3 linked regions of the Sus scrofa genome follow. The protein of the gene in region 2 interacts with the protein of the main gene of each other region in a biochemical or structural test. Links are inferred from orthologs where the notes say so. Each region holds a gene or a part of one and is shown on either strand. Other genes may lie near its edges.

Evidence for each region.
Region 1: the proteins of TJP2 (region 2) and OCLN form a complex in vitro, tested with the Homo sapiens proteins (3 studies listed by BioGRID). The link is inferred for Sus scrofa from reciprocal best matches to the Homo sapiens genes TJP2 and OCLN.
Region 3: the proteins of TJP2 (region 2) and CGN form a complex in vitro, tested with the Homo sapiens proteins (2 studies listed by BioGRID and IntAct, with this or other methods). The link is inferred for Sus scrofa from reciprocal best matches to the Homo sapiens genes TJP2 and CGN.

Annotation. Positions count from the first base shown.
Region 1 is NC_010458.4:47,599,103-47,602,848, reverse strand, and holds the start of OCLN (occludin), read right to left. Parts: upstream 2,675-3,746; 5' UTR 2,516-2,674; intron 2,359-2,515; exon of another isoform or gene 1,909-2,358; intron 1,483-1,908; exon of another isoform or gene 1,338-1,482; intron 1-1,337. UniProt on the Homo sapiens protein: May play a role in the formation and regulation of the tight junction (TJ) paracellular permeability barrier.
Region 2 is NC_010443.5:222,523,650-222,527,395, forward strand, and holds the start of TJP2 (tight junction protein ZO-2), read left to right. Parts: upstream 1-1,102; 5' UTR 1,103-1,276; coding exon 1,277-1,357; intron 1,358-3,746. UniProt on the Homo sapiens protein: Plays a role in tight junctions and adherens junctions. Acts as a positive regulator of RANKL-induced osteoclast differentiation, potentially via mediating downstream transcriptional activity.
Region 3 is NC_010446.5:97,720,354-97,723,999, reverse strand, and holds part of CGN (cingulin), read left to right. Parts: intron 1-211; 5' UTR 212-225; coding exon 226-1,086; intron 1,087-2,243; coding exon 2,244-2,344; intron 2,345-2,793; coding exon 2,794-2,863; intron 2,864-2,964; coding exon 2,965-3,060; intron 3,061-3,646. UniProt on the Homo sapiens protein: Probably plays a role in the formation and regulation of the tight junction (TJ) paracellular permeability barrier.

The sequences.
Region 1 (3,746 bases), on a different chromosome or scaffold from region 2:
AGAAAACTTCCCTCTAGGAGGTTCCTGGGAAGGTGAAAGACATTATATCAGTTAATTTATGTGGCTGAAAGTAATCTCTCTCTCTTTTTTTTTTTATATTTTCTAGGGCTAAACCCGCAGCATATGGAGGTTCCCAGGCTAGAGGTCTAATCAGAGCCACAGCAACTCGGGATCCGAGCCGCATCTGCAATCTACACCACAGCTCACGGGACCGCTGGATCCTTAACCCACTGAGCAAGGCCAGGGATCAAACCTGCAACCTCATGGTTCCTACTCAGATTAACCACTGAGCCACGACGGGAACTCCTCATTTTGAAAGGACAATAGTTTCAATATTATCCTCAGAAGAAAAGAGTAAAGATTTTTACCTTTAGATCAAGCAAGATGGGGAACACTTATATGAGGCCACAGGGTATAGTCAAAGGTAGAGAATTCCAGAACAACTCCCCAAATCTGGTTCTCCTGCTGGCTTATAAGGACTGCTGCTTTTCTAATATACCTTCCCTAACTAGCTGAAGAAGTTTTCAAGCCAGCCCGTTTGCAACATGTTTCCCCTACCTGGTGTTCACTCACAACTGGAGTTCTAATAAGATCTAGCTTTTAGAGATGCTGGGATGATTAAATGATATAAAGTACAAAAGGGCAACACTCATCATTTCCCTAAATTGCCTGTTGGTGTGTAAATCTCCATCATTTAACAAGGAGGCACCTAATAATGAAATAAATGCAAAACTAGATAAAACCAGTGCTGTTGCTTTTTCTGAGAAAATATCAATTACTGCAGAGCCAACTTTTAAAATGTCTATTTTAGGGGACTTCCCTGGTGGCCTAGAAGTTAAGGATCTCGCTTTGCCACTGCTGAGGCTCTGGTACAGGTTGGAGCCCTGGTCCAGGAACTTCCGCATGCCACACACAGCCAAAACTAAGACAAATAAGGTGTTTATTTTAAAACACCAGGAAGACAAAATATTCAATACATACAGTGCAAAGGAAACACTGTTACACTAGGGAATGCAAAGTTGAGAACTCTACCACTGTCTGGAAAGAACTAGTTTTCTATCAAAAAGCCTAAGGGCCTTAAGAGGAAGGGATTCTCTTTCCCAGGGATCGCAATAATATACCTGTAGTGCGTGAGGGCCACACAGTAACCTGGAAATCTGCCTCCTGCCTGCCCCGGGTCACCTCCCGGGTGGGCAGGCTACCCGGCCCAGGGATGCCCCGGCTTCTCCTCCGTCTCAGTCGCTTCACCTGGGACCGGAGGGTCTTGGAGCCGCTGCTGCAGCCGCAAGGTGCAGAGGCCATTTTGGCCCCTCCGCCCGCCTGGCCCCTCCACCCACCTGGCCTCACACACTTGGTCCGACACAGGCAACATGTCCGCTGCGCGCCGGGCCGGCCCTTCCCCGGGTCGCAGGAGCGCGCGGCCGGCCGGCCGGGGCCAGGTCCCGGAGGTCATGCACCCCCGCCACTTCCAGAGCGCCCCGGGCCGTGAGCGCTCGTCGAGCACGGACGGCCCCGAGGCAGGTCCGCCCACCTGGCGGCGGCCTTTAGGTCACGGGTGAAATAGCCCAGGCGTGTGCGGCTTCCCTCGAAGTACAGCTACACTCGAAATTAAGTCCCCGCCCCCCAGCTTAAATCCACGCGGAACCACACAACTGCCCCCCAGGGGCTTGAAAACAGCCCATCGGCCCACCCCACGTCTCCAGGAATATTGCACGGATTAAATCTGGCCACCCCTTCTCCCCCTGGGGTACCCAAAAGGGTGGGGCGGGATGGCGTCGAGGAGGTCCCCCGGGGGTCCTAACCGCCACGCCCCGGCCAGCGAGCCGACCCCCCTCGCTCCAGTGCTCAGGATCAGAGCCCACTTTCCCCGAGGACCCTCTTCGCGAGGACCCTCCCTCCCAACTGTACCTCGGAGAGCTGGGCGCAGGATCCTCGCTGTTCACTTAACTTCCCGCCAGCCCCCATGTAACCGAAAGGTTGCCCCCACCGCCTAGACACCGGTGGCTTCAAGCGTTTCCGCGGCAGAAGTTGATGGGCGTCTCCAAGCGCACCCCCGCTCGGGAGGCAGCCTCTCAAGTTCGCCCCGCGCGGCTCCCTCGGACGACCCGCGCCTTTTCGCTTCCCGCGAGTCCCAGCCCAGGGACGAAACCGCCACCGAAACCAGCGCGGGCTTCCTCCCCCCGCGCCGCTCCTACCAGACAGAAGGGCCCCTCGTGCGCCCTGGGCGCGGCGCCCAACTCTCACCTTCTCACCGCAGCCTGGCCCGACCCACCTGGAAAGGCGAGACCCAAGGAGCGCGCTCACCTGGAGGGTGCACCTGACGCAGTGCAGACGGCCAGCTCGCCCCGCGGCTCAGCTGGGGACCCAGCCCTCCTCCTCTCCACCCTCCTCCCCTCTCCTCCTCTCCCCTCCTCCTCCTCTCCCCACCCACCCCGCCGTCCGGCCCACGGGCATGCGCACCAAAGCCAGGCCCGTGTGCCAGTTACCCCCCCGCCCCCGCCGCCCCGAGATCCACCTGCTGCACCCCGCGAGGGCTCTGCGGCGCTCTGTCTAGCTCTCCCCGGAGTCCCGCCGCCCCAACCAGAGGAAGGAGAAAGGGGGTGGTGGACACGGGCGAGGAGGAGTGGTGTGGTGGCCTCCTCCCACCGTGATCCATCCACCTGAAACTCAGATGGGAGGGGGAAGGGAGCGGTGGAGAAGGAGGCGGGAGTAACCAGCCCTTCGCACACCCTTGCTGCGCCCGGCGTTAAAGGAACAGTGCGGCCTTTTGGCCTGAAGCACAGGGGACAGAGCACCGAAGGGCTGCTTGGGGTGGGGTCTCGGACATTGAGAGGTTGGGGAGGGGTCCTGGACCATCTGGGAAGCGCTGGGAGACCGGTGGGCTTCGGGTAGAACTGCAGAGTGTTTGGCAAGTAAGGTCTGAAAAGTGTCCAGGGGTGCTCAGCGCTTTGACAAAAAAGGCACGATCTCACACAAAACTTTCCTGCTCCGAAAATGTGGTTAAAGTTTTGTTGCAAAGAAATTTTTGAAAGTCATGCGGGGTTTTGAGAATGGTTTCTGAATGTCTGGATCCAGAAAAAGATCATTACTCAGAATGGTTCTGTGCAGGTGAAGTACTGTAGATAATGGTGTCAGTGAACTTGCCGTCAAAATTAAGTGCATACTCCAATATACGTTACTACCGGTTCAGGGTCCTCTGCCCTTCCCTCCCACATTTAACTATGGTGTGACTGAGAGGCTGTTCTTGGGGGGATCTAAACTATATAAATAGCCTCTTTGGCTTAAAGGGAAAAAAAAAAATTGCCCTAGTTCTGTGTGCTCTCGATCCCTAGGCTCTTTCCAAAGGAGTGTTCAATTTAGGAAAACTCATAGTCTGCACTTAACGCTGTATACACTGATCTATATGCATGTTGTATTTCTTTTTTTTTTAATTGCACAACTGAATGGGGCAGTTTTAGTTCTTGCTACTTAAGTGTCTGCATTGAAGGCTAGAAATTAGCCTGTAAATCCTGCTCACTTTGTGTTTCAGTCTGGAATGTCAGCATTGCTAATAAATTTCAGTCCAATCCCACCCACTTCTCTTCCTCTAATTAAGTGGTTAGGGATGTGACTCTCTCCTACATTAGATCTTAAGACACAGCTCAATACTTAAGGAAATAAAAGCATTATATAAATATAAGGTATTTAAAAATGATGACAGCCTTAATGAGTAATCAATCTAATTGCTGTTTTTTTTCATGGAAGTC
Region 2 (3,746 bases):
CATCTGCATTTCGTCAGTGGATCCATTTTGACCTTTTACCTTTTACCTTCTTGGGAGCCTGGGCCGAGTTTTGCTTTTCAATTTAGAAGAGCAGGATGGCCACATTTTTTTTTTCTTACAGTGTGGTTTCCTTAGAGTCCAAACCCAAAGTTTTATTTTTTTACATCAGTGCACCTGTCTTGATTTTCCAAATAACTTACATTACCTTAAAACAAGGAAAAAAAAATTTTGGGGCTGTGCCCTTGGCATGGGATAGGGACAGAGCCACAGCAATGACAATGCCAGATCCTTAACTTGCTGTGCCACTCTGAGAACTCCCCAAATAAGATTTTATTTATTGTGCACATTTCTTCGTATAGAGGACTCTAAAACAAATAAATGTACTGAGTTGAATTTGATGAATCCTGCCTGATAAGTATTTGTAACCTATTTTTCAAAAAAAAGCCTTTTAAAAGCTAGTGATGAGAGAGGAGTTTCCATCTCTTTATTAGAGTTGTTGGAAATGTGCCAAAGAGATAACCTGGCGTATATTTCCCTCAAAAATCATGTTTTATTCTTTAACATGAACATCTTATACCCTCGGAATTCGGGGAATTGTTGAGCTGAAAAACCTGGGGTACAGTGCCCTGTGTTGCCAGCCTCTAGGCAAGACAGCAAAAACTTCGGGGTTTCCCGGGTTCTTCCTTTCGGAAGAGAACCGAGGAGGGGGCGCTGCAAAAGTCTCCAAAAAGCATTCTTACAGGATCTCTAATGGGAGAACCTGCTGACTAACTCGCCACCCCACACTTACCGCTGCAAGCAAACTTGCAGCGCTTCCCTCGCACGCGCGGGGCGGGAGCGGGACCTGAGGCCCTGTGCATGCCGCGGAGCGAACCATCCGGCCGGCCGGAGAGGGGGGAGGTTCGGACGTGGGGGGCGCGGTAAGCTGGGGCCTCGGTGTCTGCCTGTTGCCTCCACCCTCTTCCGTCCCTGGCGGGGAGTCGCGCGAGCCCGAACCCTCGGTGGGGACTTGAGGGGCGCGGCGCTGGCAAGCCTTCCCCCGGGCCGCGCGGGGGTGGTAGCGGCCCTTTTCAGAGTTTCCCGGGCCGGCGGCCGGCGCAGAGGCGCTGCCTGCGGCCGGGGGCGGGCGGACGCCGCAGCCGCCGCGGCCGCGGGAGGAGGGACAAAGGGGTGGGTCCCCGTGGGGCCGTCACCCAGGCAAAACGCGGCTGACGGACTGAGAACTGACCTGCCGCCCGGAGTATCAGGAGGAGCGGGGCTCGGGACTGGTGCGTCCATGAGAGACCCGCGCCCGAAAATGCCGGTGCGAGGAGATCGCGGGTTTCCACCCAGGCGGGAGATGTCAAGTTGGCTCCATGTAAGTGCCGTCTGGCGTCCCGCTCGGTTGGGAGAAGGGTCGCGAGGAGAGAGCTTAGGAGCGCGTGGTGGGCTTCCCGGATGCGCTGTAGGTGGCTGGGATTCTTCCATCCGGAGGTGGAGTTGAGGGCAGGGAGTAGGTTTCGCCGGCAGAGGTGCTGGGTCAGGGCCTCCAGGATTCCTGAATCTTTTTCTCTGTTCTATGAAGTCACTTGGTTTTCAGTCGCGAGTAGGGGAAACTCTCTTGAACTCTGTTTTGGATCCCTGCTACCTTTGAGGCATCTCGTTGAGCTTGTTATGTCGCCTGTTGTTTGCTTTTGAGTTTTCCTTCTTAGTTTCAAACCAGTTATTCTGTAATTGATGCAAAGTTAGAGCATGTGTGCATGAGACGAACTGACGACTCTTTGGAGATGGGAATCCTCATTTTCCCTTTCAATCTCTTTTAGTCGGCAGTATAAGTAAAAGTTATTTGTGGCAGGGAATGGAGATAGGGTTTTGGAGGACCCCCCAAAAAGGGAGTGATGAATACTTTGTATTCTGGTATTATCTTACCTGTCACCAGTTCCTTTTCTTTTATGTTTTCATTTGTCAAGTTTCTGCTTTACACAGTAGTTTAAGTTATAAATAATCAGGGTTTTGCCTACAGGGTTTTAACATTCTTGAAACGTGGATGAACTTGGGAGTGAATACTCCAGGGCTTAGTAATGGAATACAACCCTCCCACCTCTATTTTAGCTTCAATTCCGAGGCAGTGCTGCTTCCTTGGCAGCTGTCTGGCCTGAGTAATGGTTGTGGTTTTCCAGCAGTTCCCAGTGGAGTCTCATCCCGTGGTAGAAACTGCCCTCCCTTCTTCAGCTAGGGGAATCCCATCACAGAAGGAAAGCGGCCCTTTTCCTTCAGATCTTTAGATGGTCTGTGCTGGAGGTGCTGAAGGTCATGCTGGGAGAACAGGGTCATTTTTGTCAGGATTCTTCCTGGGAAAGACAGTCTACATGCATACGTGGGAAGCAGATGGTTTTCATTTTAATTGAGGAGTTAGTAGTAGTGATTGCTTTTGCGCCAAAGTGCCAATTATTATCCTGCCTAAAACAATGAAATTGGTTGTTTAATACATTTTTATGAGCACCTTCATCTCAGTGTGGAAAATAGAAATGTTAAGAGTGTGCTTCTACCAACCACACTGTCTTGTTGGGGAAACCTGTAAATGATGAAGACTGATAGTTCCAGTTAGAAATAGGGACAGGATGCTGGAGTTGCTTCTCTCTGGGGAGCTGAGAGAAAGGAGTGTTTTACTAAGGCAGTGGTGGCTTTTGAGTTGTATCTTGAGCTTTTTCAGAGCTACTGCCAAAGATTGATGAAGGGGGATCCCCCCCCCCAGAATGGCTGCTGCAACTTTTTTAGGACCGCGAAGTTAATAAATTAATGAGCACCCACCTGTGCCCGGCCACTGTTGGGGAGGTGGGGGTGTGAGGTGAGTAAGACTCAACTTCAAGAGTCTGTTTGATCTGAAAATTTTAGATGTTTTTTGGACTGCAGGCTCTCTCTGCTGTGGCTAAAGGAGGGAGTGTGCTGCACAGATGCACACTGTGCAGTACAAAAATACAACAAAGTGTGGGGTCTTCCTGTGCACACTCCCTTCAGGGATTCTTTTTTTTTTTTTGTCTTTTTGCCATTTCTAGGGCCGCTCCAGCGGCATATGGAGGTTCCCAGGCTAGGGGTCCAATCGGAGATGTAGCTGCCAGCCTACGCCTGAGCCACAGAAACACAGGAGCCAAGCCGTGTCTGCGACCTACACCACAGCTCATGGCAACGCCGGATTGTTAACCCACTGAGCAAGGGCAGGGATCGAACCCACAACCTCATGGTACCTAGTCAGATTCGTTAACCACTGCGCTGTGACGGGAACTCCCCTTCAGGGATTCTTATTAGGAAGAAAGTTCAGGAGTTCCCGTCCTGGACCAGTGGAAATGAATCCGACTAGGAACCATGAGGTTGCAGGTTCAATCCCTGGCCTCGCTCAGTGGGTTAAAGATCCGGAGTTGCTGTGAGCTGTGGTGTAGGTTGCAGATGCAGCACAGATCTGGAGTTGCTTTGGCTGTGTAGGCCGGCAGCTACAGCTCTGATTAGACCCCTACCTAGCCTGGGAACCTCTAGACGCCATGGGTGTGGCCCTAAAAAGACAAAAAAAAAAAAAAAAGTTCACTATTTGAACAGATACCTCACAGGGTAAGCCAATATAGAAGATGAGGTTAACAACACACCTCACAGAGTTGAATGAGGATTGAGTGAAATGACGTAGGGAGCTTGGCCTGTAGTGGGTGCTAAGTAAACAGTAGCTGGTACAGTCATCCCACGGTGTCCTGGGGCAGGGGAGGTTCCAAGATTCCTCT
Region 3 (3,646 bases), on a different chromosome or scaffold from region 2:
GTTGGGGACCACCTGCTGAATCTGATTCTCTGGGGGTAGGGTCCAGCAGTCAGTTTTAACAGGTGATTCTGCTGCTCAAACAAAGGATGAAAACTACTACTTTGGGAGAAGGAATTGGTAGGGCAGTCAGCCTCACAAAAGCTGAGCAAGTAGAGGTTTCTGGGTTTCTATTTCTAGTCTCTCAGCTTAAACTCTCTTCTTCATCTTCTAGGACCCCTCCGATCCATGGAGCAGGTGTCCAGCATGGCTGAGCCCCGGGGCCCTGTAGACCATGGAGTCCAGATTCGCTTCATCACAGAGCCAGTGGATGATGCAGAGATGGGCACCCTCCGTCGTGGTGGGCGACGCCCAGCTAAGGATGCAAGAGCCAATACCTATGGGGTCGCCGTGCGCGTGCAGGGCATCGCTGGGCAGCCCTTTGTGGTGCTCAACAGTGGGGAGAAAGGTGGTGACTCCTTTGGGGTCCAGATCAAGGGGGCCAACAGCCGAGGGCCCCCGGGAGCTCTGAGCTCTGACTCGGAACTCACTGAGAGCCCCTACTCGCAGGCCAAGGAGTTTCCTGCCACCTCGCGGGGCAGCACGTCTGATGAGGAGCCCGGGGCCCACTGGAATGGAAAGCTGCTCCGCTCCCAGTCCCAGGCCTCGCTAGCAGGCCCTGCCGCTATGGGTCCGAGCAACAGGAGCGCCAGCCTGCTGGAGCTTGCCCCCCAGGGAGCTTCCCCTGGGAGCACCATTGACACTGCCCCCCTGTCTTCAGTGGACTCACTCATCAACAAGTTTGACGGCCACCATGGGGGCCAGATCCGGGGCCGGACTGGCCGCCGCATGCGGACGTTGCCCCCTGAACAACGCAAGCGGAGCCAGAGCCTGGACAACCGGCTCCCACGGGACACCCTTGAGGAACGGGAGCGCCGGTCCCCCGACCACTGGACCCCTAGCACAAAGCGTGACCAGCACATGGGCAGCTCGAAACAGTCAGCCCAGAACCTTCTTGGTGGCTTTAGCCGCTCTCGTCAAACCCAGGACTGGGTCCTTCAGAGTTTTGAGGAGCCACGGGGGAGAGCCCAGGACCCTGGGATGCTACAGGTCAGACCCCACCCCTTCGTGGCTTCCAACCCCCCAGCCCCTTCTCATCAGCCCCGACCCACCAGCCCTGGGACCCCATGTTGATTCAAATGACTCAAGGCAGAAAGTTGCTACTTTTTATCCATCTGTTTAGTAGATGGTGTTCACAAGTACAGTATACTTCTGTGGGCAAAATTCTAAAGGAAATGGAAGTAATTATGAAATCATTTACGAGCATGGAGAGCTGCTTGTCATCGCCCGACTGTTAACTACGCCTCAGTCACTGGCTTTTGCTAAGTTTATAGCATACGTGAGGCAGGCCTGGAGAATGTGAGCTGTTCCCTCATGCTCTTGCCAAGACTCCTACCTTCGGGGAGTTCTCTTATGCGCAGTGGGTTAAGGGTCCAGCATTGGCCTTAAGCTGCAGTGCCTGGGGTCACTCTTGTGGCACAGGTTTGAGCCCTGGCCCAGGAACTTTCACATGCTGTGGGCGTGGCCCCCCACCCCCACCCCAAAACCCTCCCACGTAGGAATGCAAGTGAGTAGGGGAGTGACTTTACTCTGAGACAAAGTTAAGCCCATTCTAAAAGTAGATCATTTACAGATTCTAGTACATTAACTGCCATTAGTGACAAATAGCCTATGACACAGCTCACAGCTGGTTGAGATCTGTTTGTTGAGCAAAATCTGGTTTGCAGCAATAGTGAGAGGTGTATCCTGCTTGACTCCTTCCTGGCCTTTGCTCAGGCCTCAGAGGTGTTGCCTCTTTTTTTTTTTTTTTTTTTTTTGTCTTTTCTAGGGCCACACCCATGGCATATGGAGGTTCCCAGGCTAGGGGTCGAATTGGAGCTGCAGCCACCAGCCTACACCAGAGCCACAGCAACACAGGATCTGAGCCACGTCTGTGACCTACACCACAGCTCACAGCAACGCCGGATCGTTAACCCACTGAGCAAGGCCAGGGACCGAACCCGCAACCTCATCGTTCCTAGTCGGATTCGTTAACCACTGAGCCACGATGGGAACTCCAGTGTTGCCTCTTTACCTGACTTCGGCCTATTTGTCATGCTCGAAGGACCTTGTTTCCCACTTGCTACTTCTCTTCCATCTGAGCCCCACAATGCTTCTGGTTTATCTTCCTAATCTTTCTATTTCTTTGGTTTTACTTTTTTTTGTAGTTCAAATCAACTCCAGACCTTCTCAGAGACCAGCAGGAGGCAGCCCCACCAGGCAGTGTGGACCACGTGAAGGCCACCATCTATGGCATCCTGAGAGAAGGGTGAGTGGGGACCCTCCCAACAGCAGAGTCACACACCTCCCTTCTTTCCCTTCTAGCTTTGTTCCCCATCTTCCCTGCTCTCTCTCTCTCTCTTTTTTTTTTTTTTTTTTTTTTGCCTTTTGTCCTTTTAGGGTTGCACTTGTGGCATGTGAAGGTTCCCAGGCTAGGGGTTCAATTGGAACTGTAGCTGCCAAGCCTACGCCAGAGCCACAGCAATGCCAGATCCGAGCTGTGTCTGCAACCTAGACCACAGCTCACGGCAGTGCTGGATCCTTAACCCACTGAGTGAGGCCAGGGATCGAACACGCCACCCCACGGTTCCTAGTCGGATTCGTTTCTGCTGTGCCACGATGGGAACTCCGCATCTTCCCTGCTCTTAACCCTTCCTTCTCTCATCTCTGCTTCCTCTTTCCTCCTCTAATCTTTGCATCTGTGCTTTTATTCTCCAGAAGCTCAGAAAGTGAAACCTCAGTGAGGAGGAAGGTCAGTTTGGTGCTGGAGCAGATGCAGCCTCTGATGGTGAGTGGCCTTCTTATGGTGGGAGCAGGGGTCAGGGTTAGGGCCTTTGGGCCTTGGGATCAGGATGTGGACTCACTTCCTCCCCCCTGCATCTCTGGCAGGTGGCTTCTCCTGGTTCTACTAAGGCCTTGGCCGGGCAGAGCGAACTCACCCAAAAAGTGGAGGAGCTACAGAAAAAGCTGGATGAAGAGGTGAAGGTGAGGAAAGATAAGAGGTGCAGGAGGCATGAAGGACCACAGGGGGAAAGAACCTTGGCCTGGACTGGCTCTTCCAAGCAATGCAACGAGTCCTTGTTTGTCTTGTGCAACAAGAATGGGTGCTAGTCCTAGCAAGGACTTCTGTGGTTCTCTGGAGCTTAGAGAGGAAGAGCACATTCATCAGGGGTCCAACTACTTTTCCTTCCATTTCCTTTGAAAGTTCTTGTCCTGGCTCTGCCACTTACTGGCTCTATAAATCTTGAGCAGAATTACTTTACTGCAATTCTTTTCATCATAACAATGATGGCAATAATAGTACCTGTCATTTATTGAGTTTAAGTTTCTAGTGGGTACTATCCCAAATAGTATGTGATAATCATAGTGACCCTGTAAAGTAGGCATCTTGGACTCTTGTATGATGAGAAATTTGAAGATCAGAGAGGTTAAGTGAATTGTTCAAGGTGGTAAGTCGCAGCGGAGGAATTTTAAAATTTGGATCAGATTTATGCTCAAACCTATGTACTTCTCTTTTTTAACGCTGCTTCGACCTCTCACAGTGTGCCTTGTATGTAGTTGGTGCTCAGTA